4 linked regions of the Saccharomyces cerevisiae S288C genome follow. Changing the gene in region 3 together with the main gene of any one other region gives a genetic interaction. Each region holds a gene or a part of one and is shown on either strand. Other genes may lie near its edges.

Region 1 (2,548 bases), on a different chromosome or scaffold from region 3:
ATTTACAGCACTGACATATGTGAGGCTTATCGCAAAAACTGTTTACAGCTGCAGAGCAGCAAAGAAGTTGACACAAGGATACGAGCGAATTAGGGTGGGCGCTTATACTTAGTTTGAAACACAGAGGGAGGATACTGACCTAAAATGGAAAAACGTACACCCGTTGATCAGGATTATCTGTAATGAAAAACACAGGACTAAGTCGAATAGCTTTTTTCAGATGAGTCTCGCCGTTAAAATTGCCAGTGTAACGTAAACAAGAGACTGTTTCAGATTGAGAAAATTTTCTTTTCTTTTCTTTTCTTTTCCGAAGGCCTCCCACCATTGAACGTGATTATGACTTCCAATAATCAGAGGATGACTTAAAAACCCCTTGATAAGATCTATTATTTTCGCGATATGCCAAAGACAACCGCCCTTCTTTTTTTTTTTTTTTTTTTTTTTTTTTTTGTTGGGAAAACTTCGTGTAAAAGGGTTAGGCTGAGATTTATCTAGAGACGCTAGCCTTCGAAATTCTCCATTTACTTTGAAGCATTGCCATCGCACTAGATGACCTTGTTTATTCTGAGGTGCCAAGAGTTAAAATTTCTTCGAGGTCTCCTTTTCAACGTTAGGTCTACGTAATGGACGAAGAAAGTGTCAAGAAGCTAATAACCCTCCGCAGTTCGTTGCCACATTCAATAAAGGAAATTCCGTTCCTATTGAAACAAAAAGCTCTTGGTACGCGCGCAGAGAGTCTGGATCGAACCTGACGGAGATATATGTCAGATCGACGTGACATGTAACATTAGAAATCTGCGTAGCGTTATTGATAGATCTCATTCTAGGCCTTCCACGAACCTTCCGGGCGGAGAATAATATCCGCAGAACATGATGCTAAAAGCCAGCTAGCGAGAAAAGAGGCAACAATAGAAAAAATGCGCGCGCCCTTCTAAACTACGTCAGCGCTATACGTAACTAGGGAGCCCAGAGAAACGCCTATAAGATTTCGTGGTAGCCACCGATCTGTCATTCGAGATCTCTGACGCTCTTCTGAAACATTCTCCTTTTTATCTACAGAAAACTCAAAGGGTCCTCCACTTGTATAGTTTCACAGTTTAACTTCAGCACCGTGTTATATCCTTTGCATAACGCAACGCAATTGTGACAGCCTCTCGTTCAGACCCTACTTTAACAAGCTCGCTAAAAAGGAAGCGCAAGAGTTTGTAATTTGCCTCTTGCGTCTGCTTTATTCTATTCGCAGTTTGATCGCACTAAAATATAGCTCCGAGAGTATGTATGGAGGTCTGTTAAAGAGATTGTTCTGGCCTGAGTTTTAATTCATCAAGGTTAGATACGGAGGACTGAACTCTCCACGAATAACCAGCCTTTCTTTATATCTATTTTGGAGAAAAGTCGTACTGTCATCAGTTCGAGGATGGTTGCTGCGCTTTATGATTCATCTACCTGTTCCAGACTGCTCACCAAATCCTCGTTTTTCAGTTTGTCACTACGGTAGTGTTCGTACAGCCGTAAAGGAGACCAGTATGGAAGGAGATTTGCTTGCGCCAAAGCTTCTTTTGCGTAACGTCTAACTACAGCTAGATTCTCAAAAATTCGTGTTCAACTCAGAAGAGGAAAGCAATTTAAAAATGAAATTTGCGGGGATCCCATTATCTCTATTGTTTAGCACATTAGGATCTCATCCGCCAATACTAGAATTTGACACGACTTTCAAAAGGAAAGATCTAAATTATGGTATCATGTTAATAATCAGTACGCATATTCGCATTTAGATTTAAATGGTTTGCGTCCAGTTTTTCTTATGTACGATCTATTTTACGTTATAATAACGGTTCTACCATTACATTTACATAGTAGACAGGCTGCCACTCCTCTGCGTCAAAAATAATATGCCTAGTGATTATACTTCCCATTACCCAGTAATACTTATCAAAAAAAAAAAAAAAAAAATTGCAGGAATGTATAGGCATAGTAAGCGGTACCTTGAGATAATGTCCACCGCTTCAGCTCAATTCGTCGGAAACTAACGTCTCAAAATATGGCGGCGAGAACACCAAAGGCGGGGTGTCCAAAACGCTTTTGCACTCTGCGGCCAATGTCCATGAACTAATTCTTTACACATAACCACAGTAATAAACTTGCAAAGAAAAAAGCAATGTCACTCCTTTCATGTGCGTTCTTTTGACGTTACAAAAGTTGAGCTGTTCAATGACGTATTTATAAGTATTAAGAAGTTCTCTCTCTTCAGTGGATGATGGACCGGATGTCGATACATGATTTGTCGATATTAGTACAATTACTACAGAGCCCATTGGGGTTATCTTTATTATTGCACTCTGCATGTGGCATCGACATATCCTTCTGTTCTGTGGCCACACCGTCGTCACTTTTACGGTGATCTGTTTCCAGTTCTTTACAAACGCAAGTAGTGTTGTCGTTACAAAAGCCGCATTTGACAGAGCTAGGCAGTTCTGTCGAGTGCTGGTGGCGCTTGATAGCGGTATTGTACTTAATAGGTATCGCCTTCATTGGTTTGAAATTCTCG
Region 2 (3,567 bases), 720 kb from region 3:
ATGACTGTCGTCTGTTGGCCAAACACCGACAAAGATAGTAAATCCCTCAGCTTCAGCAGCAGGACCTAAGTTTTGCAAAGTGTTACAATCTGAGGCAGCGTAAACTTTGACGGTGGAAGTGTAGCTCTTCAAAGCTTGTAATTCGGTTTCATAGTCGGAAGTGGACTTACAAGTACCATCGTTGTTCTTGACACCCAAGTTAAAGGCTAGTTCACCAATAGCTGAAACTTGGGAGGCTGTGAAAAATAGCGCAGTAGCTGCAGTAGCGAGTGTAGTAGAGAAACGCATCTTTGACCGTTTTTCTTTTTGGTTAGTTGTCTATCTCAATAAACTTATATTGAAAAAAACAAGAAGAAGTCCAAATTGTGAATGAGGAAAAGTTTCTTTATAAGGAGGCAGTTAAAATCAAAATAAACAAATATCCTCTTGTTTTCTTCGTGACATTTTTCTCTTTTTCAGGGCGAAAAACTGAAAGAAAAATTTTAACGTTTCTTTTACTAAAAATAGAACTGCATATCCGTAGAAAACGATGATTATATAACATAAATAGTAATATCAGTTATTAATTGCTATTTATTTCAACTTGCCCAACGCTGAAACATGGTAAGAGCTATGGGTAGGCTATCTTGAATGGGTATATTTCCCTGGGGTACGGAAGCAGGGAATTGCAGTTGACCAGAAAAGTAATGATGCAAAGAAGAGGATTCTAAGTCAGATCTCCTGAAACAACGTTTTAAATGGCCCCATTTCCCGAAGATAAGCAGGATATTACAGGGTTTTTCTGATGTTGAACTTTTTTTCAGTTTTGCGATGTATGGTAGCTTTGTTTCTACCTTGTGGTACTTTGACAACTCTTCGTCGTAGTGGAAGTCACCACTGTTGACCCAAACGATCTTTGTGTAACCTTCGGACACCTCATTCAAAGTGCTTGCCATTCGAACATGATAGCCGAGTGGTTTTCCTTTGTAAGCATCTATGGGTGACACTACTTCTTTGCGCTCTGTATCAACTGTTACACGCGCAGTATTGGGAATATTTTGGTTAGATAACGTAATAATTTGATTCTTTCCTATATACACCAAATTTGTTAGAGCATCATCAGATTTACCTTTTGAGCTATCTCGTGCGATTGATAAGCCTTCCTTGTAGTGTTGTTCGGCAGATGCGTTCATAAAAGGTAGCTGGTTCAATGGCGGAAAGGTAGATGCACACTTTAAATATAACTTGTTTTTTTTTTTGAATGTAGTATCCAGTAAGTTTGGAGGCGTTACAAAATATTGTAATAGTGTGGCAAGTAATAAACAATCAGAGATAGTCTCCTTTGATCTTGATTTTTTTTCATGCTTTTTATCTTTTGACTGGTCTAGAACTATGATTTCTTGAACATTGAACAATACAGCTGTCCGAGCTATTTGATATGCAGTAAATGTAACTTGCTCCAAATTATTACAATTGTCGATAACAGTTGTCGGTATGCATATGGAATATTTGACCACATTAGATTCTATATCCATGATTTTTTTTAGCTTCAATAGGCCTGTCTTTGCCTTTTTGGCAGCCCCCTCTTCGTGCTTAAGGCTCTCGGATTTATGTTTTACTGCCATCTTCCCCTATTATGCTACACTTCCCTTGGTAGATGTGTTTCACCTCATTGGTATCAATTACCTCCTCTACTTAATATCCCAATTTCAACATGGTGTTTTCAAGCGATGAGGTGGAAAAAATTTCAAATAATATGTTTGGGTGTGCCCATTATTGCGGTTTACAATAGTTGCTAAAGAGCTATTTATTAGGAATTTTTAAACTTTAGAGATTGCTTAAAGCGACTTTAAAGCGTTTCTTTGGAAAGATAGGAGAGCGGATGCTATCTCAAGAGCATCTCTTCAATGATTTAAGCAGTGACAGTGTAAAACAATTACGGACCAACGAAAATGGTCAAATCAAAACTAATTACAATAAATAAGTTCTATCATAATACAAGGGAATTCTGTGCGATATAACCACATTGATTGAAGGTAGAATATACAAGCCAACGTGAGACCAATCAAATTTCGTTAAGTGCGCCTATACAAAAAGAAATCTTTTATGTAGATATGACAGTAAGAAAAGTATATATGTGAGCTAGCAGGGTATTGAAAGCGATCACAAGAAGGCAAAACGAAATAGATTGTTAGAAGATGAGTGAACAGAAGGGACATAAAGAAAAGATTTCCTTTACAATCTAGTAAATCTTCTTCTTTTCATCAACGGATAATTCACCAGCGCCAGTATTAGTAACTAATAGAAGCCCACCAATGATGCTTAAGTTCTGGTAAAACTCATACTTCAAGAAATCTCTCTTAGTATTGTTATAAAACCAGTAGTTGTTTAGCGTGATATTGTAAAAAGTTAGTATCAAACCCAACATAATGGATGCGAATTTTGTCTTGTAACCAATGGCGAAACATATTGTGCCGATAATGGTCAAAACAACAGTAAACCATGATTTACTGAAAGTGAAAGCGATAAACATTAAAACAATTAAAATTCTACCAGCAAACAACAGGTAACCCTTCGCTTTGTCGTTTTTGCTGTTTAATTCAGGAAGCATACCGAATGTTGTCTTGTTTTGAACAATTGAATCGCTGAATGCAATTAACAACCCACCAATAACACTAAAGTTTCTTAGGACAAATGATGAACCCGTAAACAACCCATAAACTAATGCTTGAGAAATAACGCAAGCACATAACACACCGGTGGCATAATTGGTTTGCTTTCTTAAAACTAACAAACTGGCGCCAATCAACATGGAAACGGTAACAACCACTAGAAACACAACGACAAAGAAGTATGGGTAATGCTTCCACTTATTCAGATAAAAAATTTGATCTGACCATTGTGATAAGATCCTAAACGAATCTTCATAAAAGGTGGCCACAATGAAAAATCTTGACAAACTTGGAATGTAAGGCTTCAATTTATAAACAACTGCATTGTCAGTGAGCCCCTCAATTCTGGAGGCAAACTTTTCAAAAGAATGCTTCCATTGCTTTAAGATGCCAGAAGTGGATTGGTTCTGGTTTGATCTGAATTGTGCACCGCCAGAGTATGGTCCTTGCGATGATGACATTGGCATACCGCCAAAATTTCCAATAGGTCCTCTGTAAGACATTGATCTATCCTTTCAGTTTTGTTTTCACTTTTTTTGAGTCGTACTAATTGCAGCTATTGTAAGTAAATAAGGACACCTTTGATCTTTCGTTAAAGGTGTCCTTTATTTTTCGCCTTTCTCATTATTCCCTCTTCTCTCATCTTCTAGAAATACCTAAAAAGGGAACCGTTACCCGAACCTATTCATTATAGAAATAAAAGAGAACGTTCTCTATAATATTCGTATACATTCGTATATATTCTATTCCATTTCTTACGGTATTCACACGAAGTAGGACAACAAGCTGGATGGTAGTTTGCCAGAATCGACAATAGTCTTTGCAGATTCCTTCAAAACTTCCTTGGCACCAGCAGCATTGGCCTTGATCTTATCGGCGGTGGACACTAACTCTTCGTCATTCAAACTGTCAACGA
Region 3 (3,352 bases):
AATTCTTAACGAATTTCCAGACTCTGAGAGGGACAAATGGAGTGTAAGTATAAACGTATTTGAAGTATATCTAAAGCTTGTGTTGGATAATGTTGAAACGCAGGAGACTATCGATTCATTAATTAGTGGTATGAAGATATTTTATGATCAGTATAAGCACTGTCGTGAAGTGGCCGCATGTTGTAATGTTATGTCCCAAGAGATTGTATCAAAAATATTGGAGAAAAACAATCCTTCAATAGGCGATTCGAAGGCCAAATTGCTTGAGCTCCCCCTAGGGCAGCCAGAAAAGGCATACTTGAGGGGTGAGTTTGCCCAGGATTTAATGAAGTGTACATATAAGATATAAGTTTTTTTATTTTTATTTCTAAAAAAAAGAAAAATAGTAAAACATGGACTGAAGCTAACGCTTTTGGAGTAATTAGTAGCATTATATATGGTAAAAGTGTTCTTCAGTAGGTCTAAGATTTAAAGGTAATGATATTTATATTATAAAACGATTTGACCTCTAATGCACTTCCTTTTATTCTTTTTGATAAAATATACTATACATCCCCCACAGCATCTCGCAGAGCCTCCACAACGTTAAGTACAGCACTCGAAGCTGGGCTGTCAGGATAGTTATCCAGGAAACTTTCACCCATGTCACAACTCTTGCCAATCCTCGGATCTAACGGAACAGACCCCAAAAATTTGATGCCCAATTCCTTACAAAGTGCTTCACCTCCACCTGTGGTAGCCTTGAATATTTGGGACTCTCCTTTGCAATTTGGACATACAAATCCGCTCATATTTTCCACTAGTCCAAGAATATTGATACCAGCCTTCTTACAGAAATCTATCTCTTTCCGTACATCTAATAAAGCTACTTCCTGAGGTGTGGTGACCACAAGGGCACCATCTATGCCAGATTCTCTCATATACTTGTTTATTGAAATGTGCTCATCAGATGTTCCGGGCGGTGTGTCGATTACCAAGTAATCGAGTTTATCCCAATCAACATCCTTTAAAAATTTTTTTATCAATAAATTCTTTTTTGAACCCCTCCATATAATGGCGGAATCGTCTTCTGGAAGCATATATTGAATAGACATGGTGGCTAAATTATCAGTCACATAGACAGGTGTCCAACCGGAGTTCGATTCATGGACGGTTTCTTTAATGCAGCCTAACATATGTGGCAAAGAAGGTCCACATATATCTAAATCCATGGCACCTACTTGTAAATCTTCGTCAGCTGAAAGTGCCCAACTTAGCATTGCGGCAAATGTCGACTTGCCTACGCCACCTTTGCCTGATAAAACCAATATTTTATGTTCTATTCCTGACAAGTTATCTGTGATCAATGGAATATCTGGATCAGGGCCTTTCGGAAGACTTTCACATATTTCTTTATTGGCGCAGCCACCACAAGCATCGGACTTACCTGCCATGTCTGATTCTGGACCAGGACAGTGTTCTGGTTCCGGCTGATTAAGTTCATACTCTGCTGGTAGCACTTCGTCGTTTACATGTGGTAGTATCTCAGTCATTCTTGGATATCACTTATGTATACTGTTGTTCTCAAAAACAGAAAGACTTCACGTTTAGCCTAGCCTACGAGTTGTTGGACAAACATGTTATTTATTATTATATACAAAATATTTCTACGCATTACTAATTACACCATTAATGAATCCGAAAAAGTACCCGGAAGCGTATTTTGAAAAGCCATATTAAAGAATAATAAGATGAACGGCAGTTTTCGACGTGTCAATGCATAGAACTGAGAGAATTGTGCATTGGATGACTTATTTATGTAGGGTGCTATGTCCCAGCTGACGGAGTTCATTAGCTGTATCCCTGTGGTTAATGAAGAACAAAATGAAGAAGATGAGCGTGGCCTCTGTAAGATTCAGATTGAAGATGGCGCTATGTTGGAAACATTAGATGAGAACAGTCTTTCAGGGCTTAGAATAGAGAAAATGTTGGTAAGTGAAGGTACAGGAATTTTTTCCAAAAGCAGTTTTGGAATCAATGATTTGCGAATCTTTACGGGAGAAAATATCGATGAAGAGTCTAAGAAATATGTGTGGTATGAACTACTCAAAATGTTAACTGGTCACAAAGTGTACATTGCATCGTTAGACGAAAAAGTCGTATTCACAAAATGGACGTGCAGAATGCAAGATGATGAGGTATGGAAAGTAGTTATGGAGTTGGAGTCATCGGCGATCATAAGAAAAATCGCTGAACTTACCTTGCATCCAGTCAAAAAGGGAGAGATTGATTTATTTGAAATGGCAGATAAACTCTATAAAGATATCTGTTGTGTTAACGATTCTTACCGGAATATAAAGGAGAGCGATTCTAGCAATAGAAATCGAGTTGAACAGCTGGCTCGGGAAAGGGAGCTATTGGATAAGCTTTTAGAAACACGTGATGAAAGAACCAGAGCAATGATGGTAACCTTGTTGAATGAGAAGAAGAAGAAAATAAGAGAGCTTCATGAGATTCTGCGACAAAATAATATCAAATTGTCTGACGATGATGTTTTAGATTCTGCGCTTATTAATACGGAAGTGCAAAAGCCAATTTCTGAGTTAAACTCTCCAGGAAAAAGAATGAAACGAAGAAAGACGGTAGTAGAGCCTCAAAATTTACAAAAGAAGTTGAAAGACACAAGTCGGAGGAGAGCTAATAGAAAAATATCTAATCAATCCGTGATCAAAATGGAAGACGACGATTTTGATGACTTTCAATTTTTCGGACTTTCTAAAAGGCCAATTATTACTGCTAAAGATAAACTCAGTGAAAAGTACGATGATATTACCTCTTTTGGAGATGACACACAATCAATAAGTTTTGAATCTGATAGTAGCAGTGATGTTCAAAAACATTTAGTGTCTTTAGAAGACAATGGTATTCAAATATCAGCAGGAAGATCGGATGAAGATTACGGAGACATTTCTGGTTCTGAATCTGAGACTGATGCAAGTGCAGGGGAAAAGAAGAGCTCCAACCATAGTGAACAATCCGGTAATGATAGGGAACCTTGCTTGCAGACAGAATCGGAAACGGATATAGAAACATAGCCTATTTATGAATGAATGTAATATATGGCAAAGAGTATTATAGTATCGCATCATTTGAGAGAATACTTTATTTAAATGGCAAAAAATAGTTCTATGTGAGTGATCGAAAACTCAACTACTCAGATTGAAAAGAAAATAAATAAAACTAGGTGTTGTATGAACGTGAAAGAAATCGAGAGGGTTTAGAAGTAGTTTAGGGTCATTTTTCAGTACATTGGTTGGCCTGGCTTGAGTTGCAACCAGTGCCAAGCATCAGCGTTGGCCTCTCTCTTGTACAT
Region 4 (2,516 bases), on a different chromosome or scaffold from region 3:
TACATCCTAACTACTATAAAACAACCTTTAGACTTACGTTTGCTACTCTCATGGTCTCAATACTGCCGCCGACATTCTGTCCCACATACTAAATCTCTTCCCGTCATTATCGCCCGCATCCGGTGCCGTAAATGCAAAACAAATACCATCTATGTCTTCCACACCATCATTTTACTATGCCTGCCACCATCCATTTGTCTTTTGCACCATATCTTCATAACCTGTCACCTTGAAACTACCTCTGCATGCCACCTACCGACCAACTTTCATGTTCTGTTTCGACCTACCTCTTGTAAATGACAAATCACCTTTTTCATCGTATGCACCTTATTCTCCACATCACAATGCACTATTGCTTTTGCTTTTTCACCTGTCATATCCTATTGCTATTAGATGAAATATAATAAAAATTGTCCTCCACCCATAACACCTCTCACTCCCACCTACTGAACATGTCTGGACCCTGCCCTCATATCACCTGCGTTTCCGTTAAACTATCGGTTGCGGCCATATCTACCAGAAAGCACCGTTTCCCGTCCGATCAACTGTAGTTAAGCTGGTAAGAGCCTGACCGAGTAGTGTAGTGGGTGACCATACGCGAAACTCAGGTGCTGCAGTTGTTTTTTTTTTCGCGCACGAATACATCACGCAGCCTCGCCTTGACACTGCTCAAGGGATAAGGGGAAGGAGCTGAGATAGAACTGAGTTGGAGCGTTGCAGCGGCACGAGCAGTGAAAAGAGCGAAGAGAAGAGAAGCAGATAAAAGACCAAAGTAGCGATGATACTTCGATGTTTGGAGCGATTTTTCCTATGTGAATATTAGAAATCATATGTTTTGTATCAGCTGAACAGTGAATGATGTGCTCAATACTCAAATTCATCTTTTTGTTTGCTAAAAATAGCTTAACTGGCACATCATGAAAAGGATGTAGAAATTATAGAGTATATTTACTACTAAGAACTATATAAAAACACAGTGTGATGAAAAGTCACTGATCAGGCTTTAACCACCGTAGACGCCAGAAAAAACAGACCTAATCTGATCCATGCCGTAGCCGGAGTACAAACATAATTGTAGCAAAATACGCGATTTTTGAGGGTTTAGGTAGCCAGATCCAATGGCGTACTCTGGGGCATCATCTGGAGGAACTGTACCATCTGCTGTTCTTCTGCTGTGAACAATTGGTATACCATACTCTTCATAAAGTTGTTCGTTTACAATACTACCCGTAGCAGTCCAGGAACCAGCTCCAGAACCCGCCAACACGATACCTTTTGCGCCCAGGTCCTTGACGGCCTTTACTATTAGCTCAGGATTCAAGCCTTGATAGGAGTACAGAATAATGACTTCTGGAATTTCCGAAGGGTCTGTGAGGTTGGAAATGTCAAAAAATTGCCATCCATTTGGCTTGACTGGTGGGTAGTAAAACTCCACGTCATCATTTGAAAAGTAACCTAAATATCCCTGTTCATCCGCTCTGAATGTATCTAAAGAGTTGGCATTCATTTTCGTTGTCCAAAACCCAGAGGCAATACGATCGTTTAGAGTGATCATCGTGCCACGACCCAGTGATTTCTCAGAAGCAGCAATAGACACTGCTTGATATAAATTCATTGGGCCATCAGCAGACGTGGCAGTGGCTGGACGCATAGCGCCTGCGATACATACTGGCTTCTCTGAATTTATGGTCAAATCTAAGAAGAAAGCTGTCTCCTCCATAGTGTCGGTCCCATGAGTGACAACCGCACCAGCGTAGTCATCAGAGGCTAGTGCCTCGGAGATACCGTGATACAATGGGATCAGATGCGTATAGTTTAAAGAATTTGAACCAACGTTAGACACTTGAAGATAGTCCAGATTTGCCTTCTCAGCTAAAGATGGGACGGCTTCTATTAAATCATTTACGGTTAATCCCACGCTATAACCCGCCGTTGTTGCACTTGTCGAACCCTTGGAAGCGATAGTACCGCCGGTACCAAAAATTTTGATTGATGGCAAAGAAGAATTCTTCTCTTCACGAATTTTTAGTAGTGGAGCACCACTGGACATTGCGACAAAGAGAGAAAGTAAAAGGGTATTTAAAGATCTCATAGTTGGAGGTTGGTGAGTACCAGATTGCTTACAAAAGAATAGCGAGCCAACATTTGCTCTGCCTCAGGCCTCTTGGTGCTGCTTGAAGACTCATCTTATATGGCTTTTGTATGTCATGATTTGTTCTTGTACATTATGTGTTGATATTAAACAAATTGATTTTTTTTTTTTTGCGATAGCAAGCAGATAATGAAAGAGACAAGGACTTGGAACATCCGATAAGACTGCGCCGATATCGATCTTACAGTCCTTCCCTTGTGTCATGACTTTCGGAAAAGCATCCTCGTCGACTGGTAGTTTGCTGTCTGTCACGTGCTGAAGGGTCTGATACATTTTTTTAAAGATAAGAGACGGGGTTTACCCTTCGGAGGACTAAGCGAGATCTCCAAGTAAAGATCTCGCTTATCAAGAAAGCAGCCAAGTG

What was found.
Region 1: mutations in NBP35 (region 3) and YIR018C-A together harm fitness more than expected from each alone (negative genetic interaction), as found in Saccharomyces cerevisiae (one large-scale study listed by BioGRID).
Region 2: mutations in NBP35 (region 3) and UPA1 together harm fitness more than expected from each alone (negative genetic interaction), as found in Saccharomyces cerevisiae (one large-scale study listed by BioGRID).
Region 4: mutations in NBP35 (region 3) and YLR154C-H together harm fitness more than expected from each alone (negative genetic interaction), as found in Saccharomyces cerevisiae (one large-scale study listed by BioGRID).

The regions. Positions count from the first base shown.
Region 1 is NC_001141.2:385,046-387,593, reverse strand, and holds YIR018C-A (uncharacterized protein), read left to right. Parts: upstream 1-1,892; coding exon 1,893-2,030; downstream 2,031-2,548. Other genes in the region: YAP5 (Yap5p), read right to left, coding at 2,248-2,548.
Region 2 is NC_001139.9:1,058,437-1,062,003, forward strand, and holds UPA1 (putative methyltransferase), read right to left. Parts: upstream 1,605-3,567; coding exon 579-1,604; downstream 1-578. Other genes in the region: BGL2 (glucan 1,3-beta-glucosidase), read right to left, coding at 1-288; protein ERV29, read right to left, coding at 2,222-3,154; ZUO1 (zuotin), read right to left, coding at 3,416-3,567.
Region 3 is NC_001139.9:341,511-344,862, forward strand, and holds NBP35 (Fe-S cluster-binding ATPase), read right to left. Parts: upstream 1,533-3,352; coding exon 546-1,532; downstream 1-545. Other genes in the region: nucleocytoplasmic transporter NUP145, read left to right, coding at 1-349; LIF1 (Lif1p), read left to right, coding at 1,809-3,074; MF(ALPHA)2 (Mf(Alpha)2p), read right to left, coding at 3,281-3,352. UniProt on the Saccharomyces cerevisiae protein: Component of the cytosolic iron-sulfur (Fe/S) protein assembly (CIA) machinery. Required for maturation of extramitochondrial Fe-S proteins.
Region 4 is NC_001144.5:468,314-470,829, forward strand, and holds YLR154C-H (uncharacterized protein), read right to left. Parts: upstream 646-2,516; coding exon 514-645; downstream 1-513. Other genes in the region: asparaginase ASP3-1, read right to left, coding at 1,004-2,092.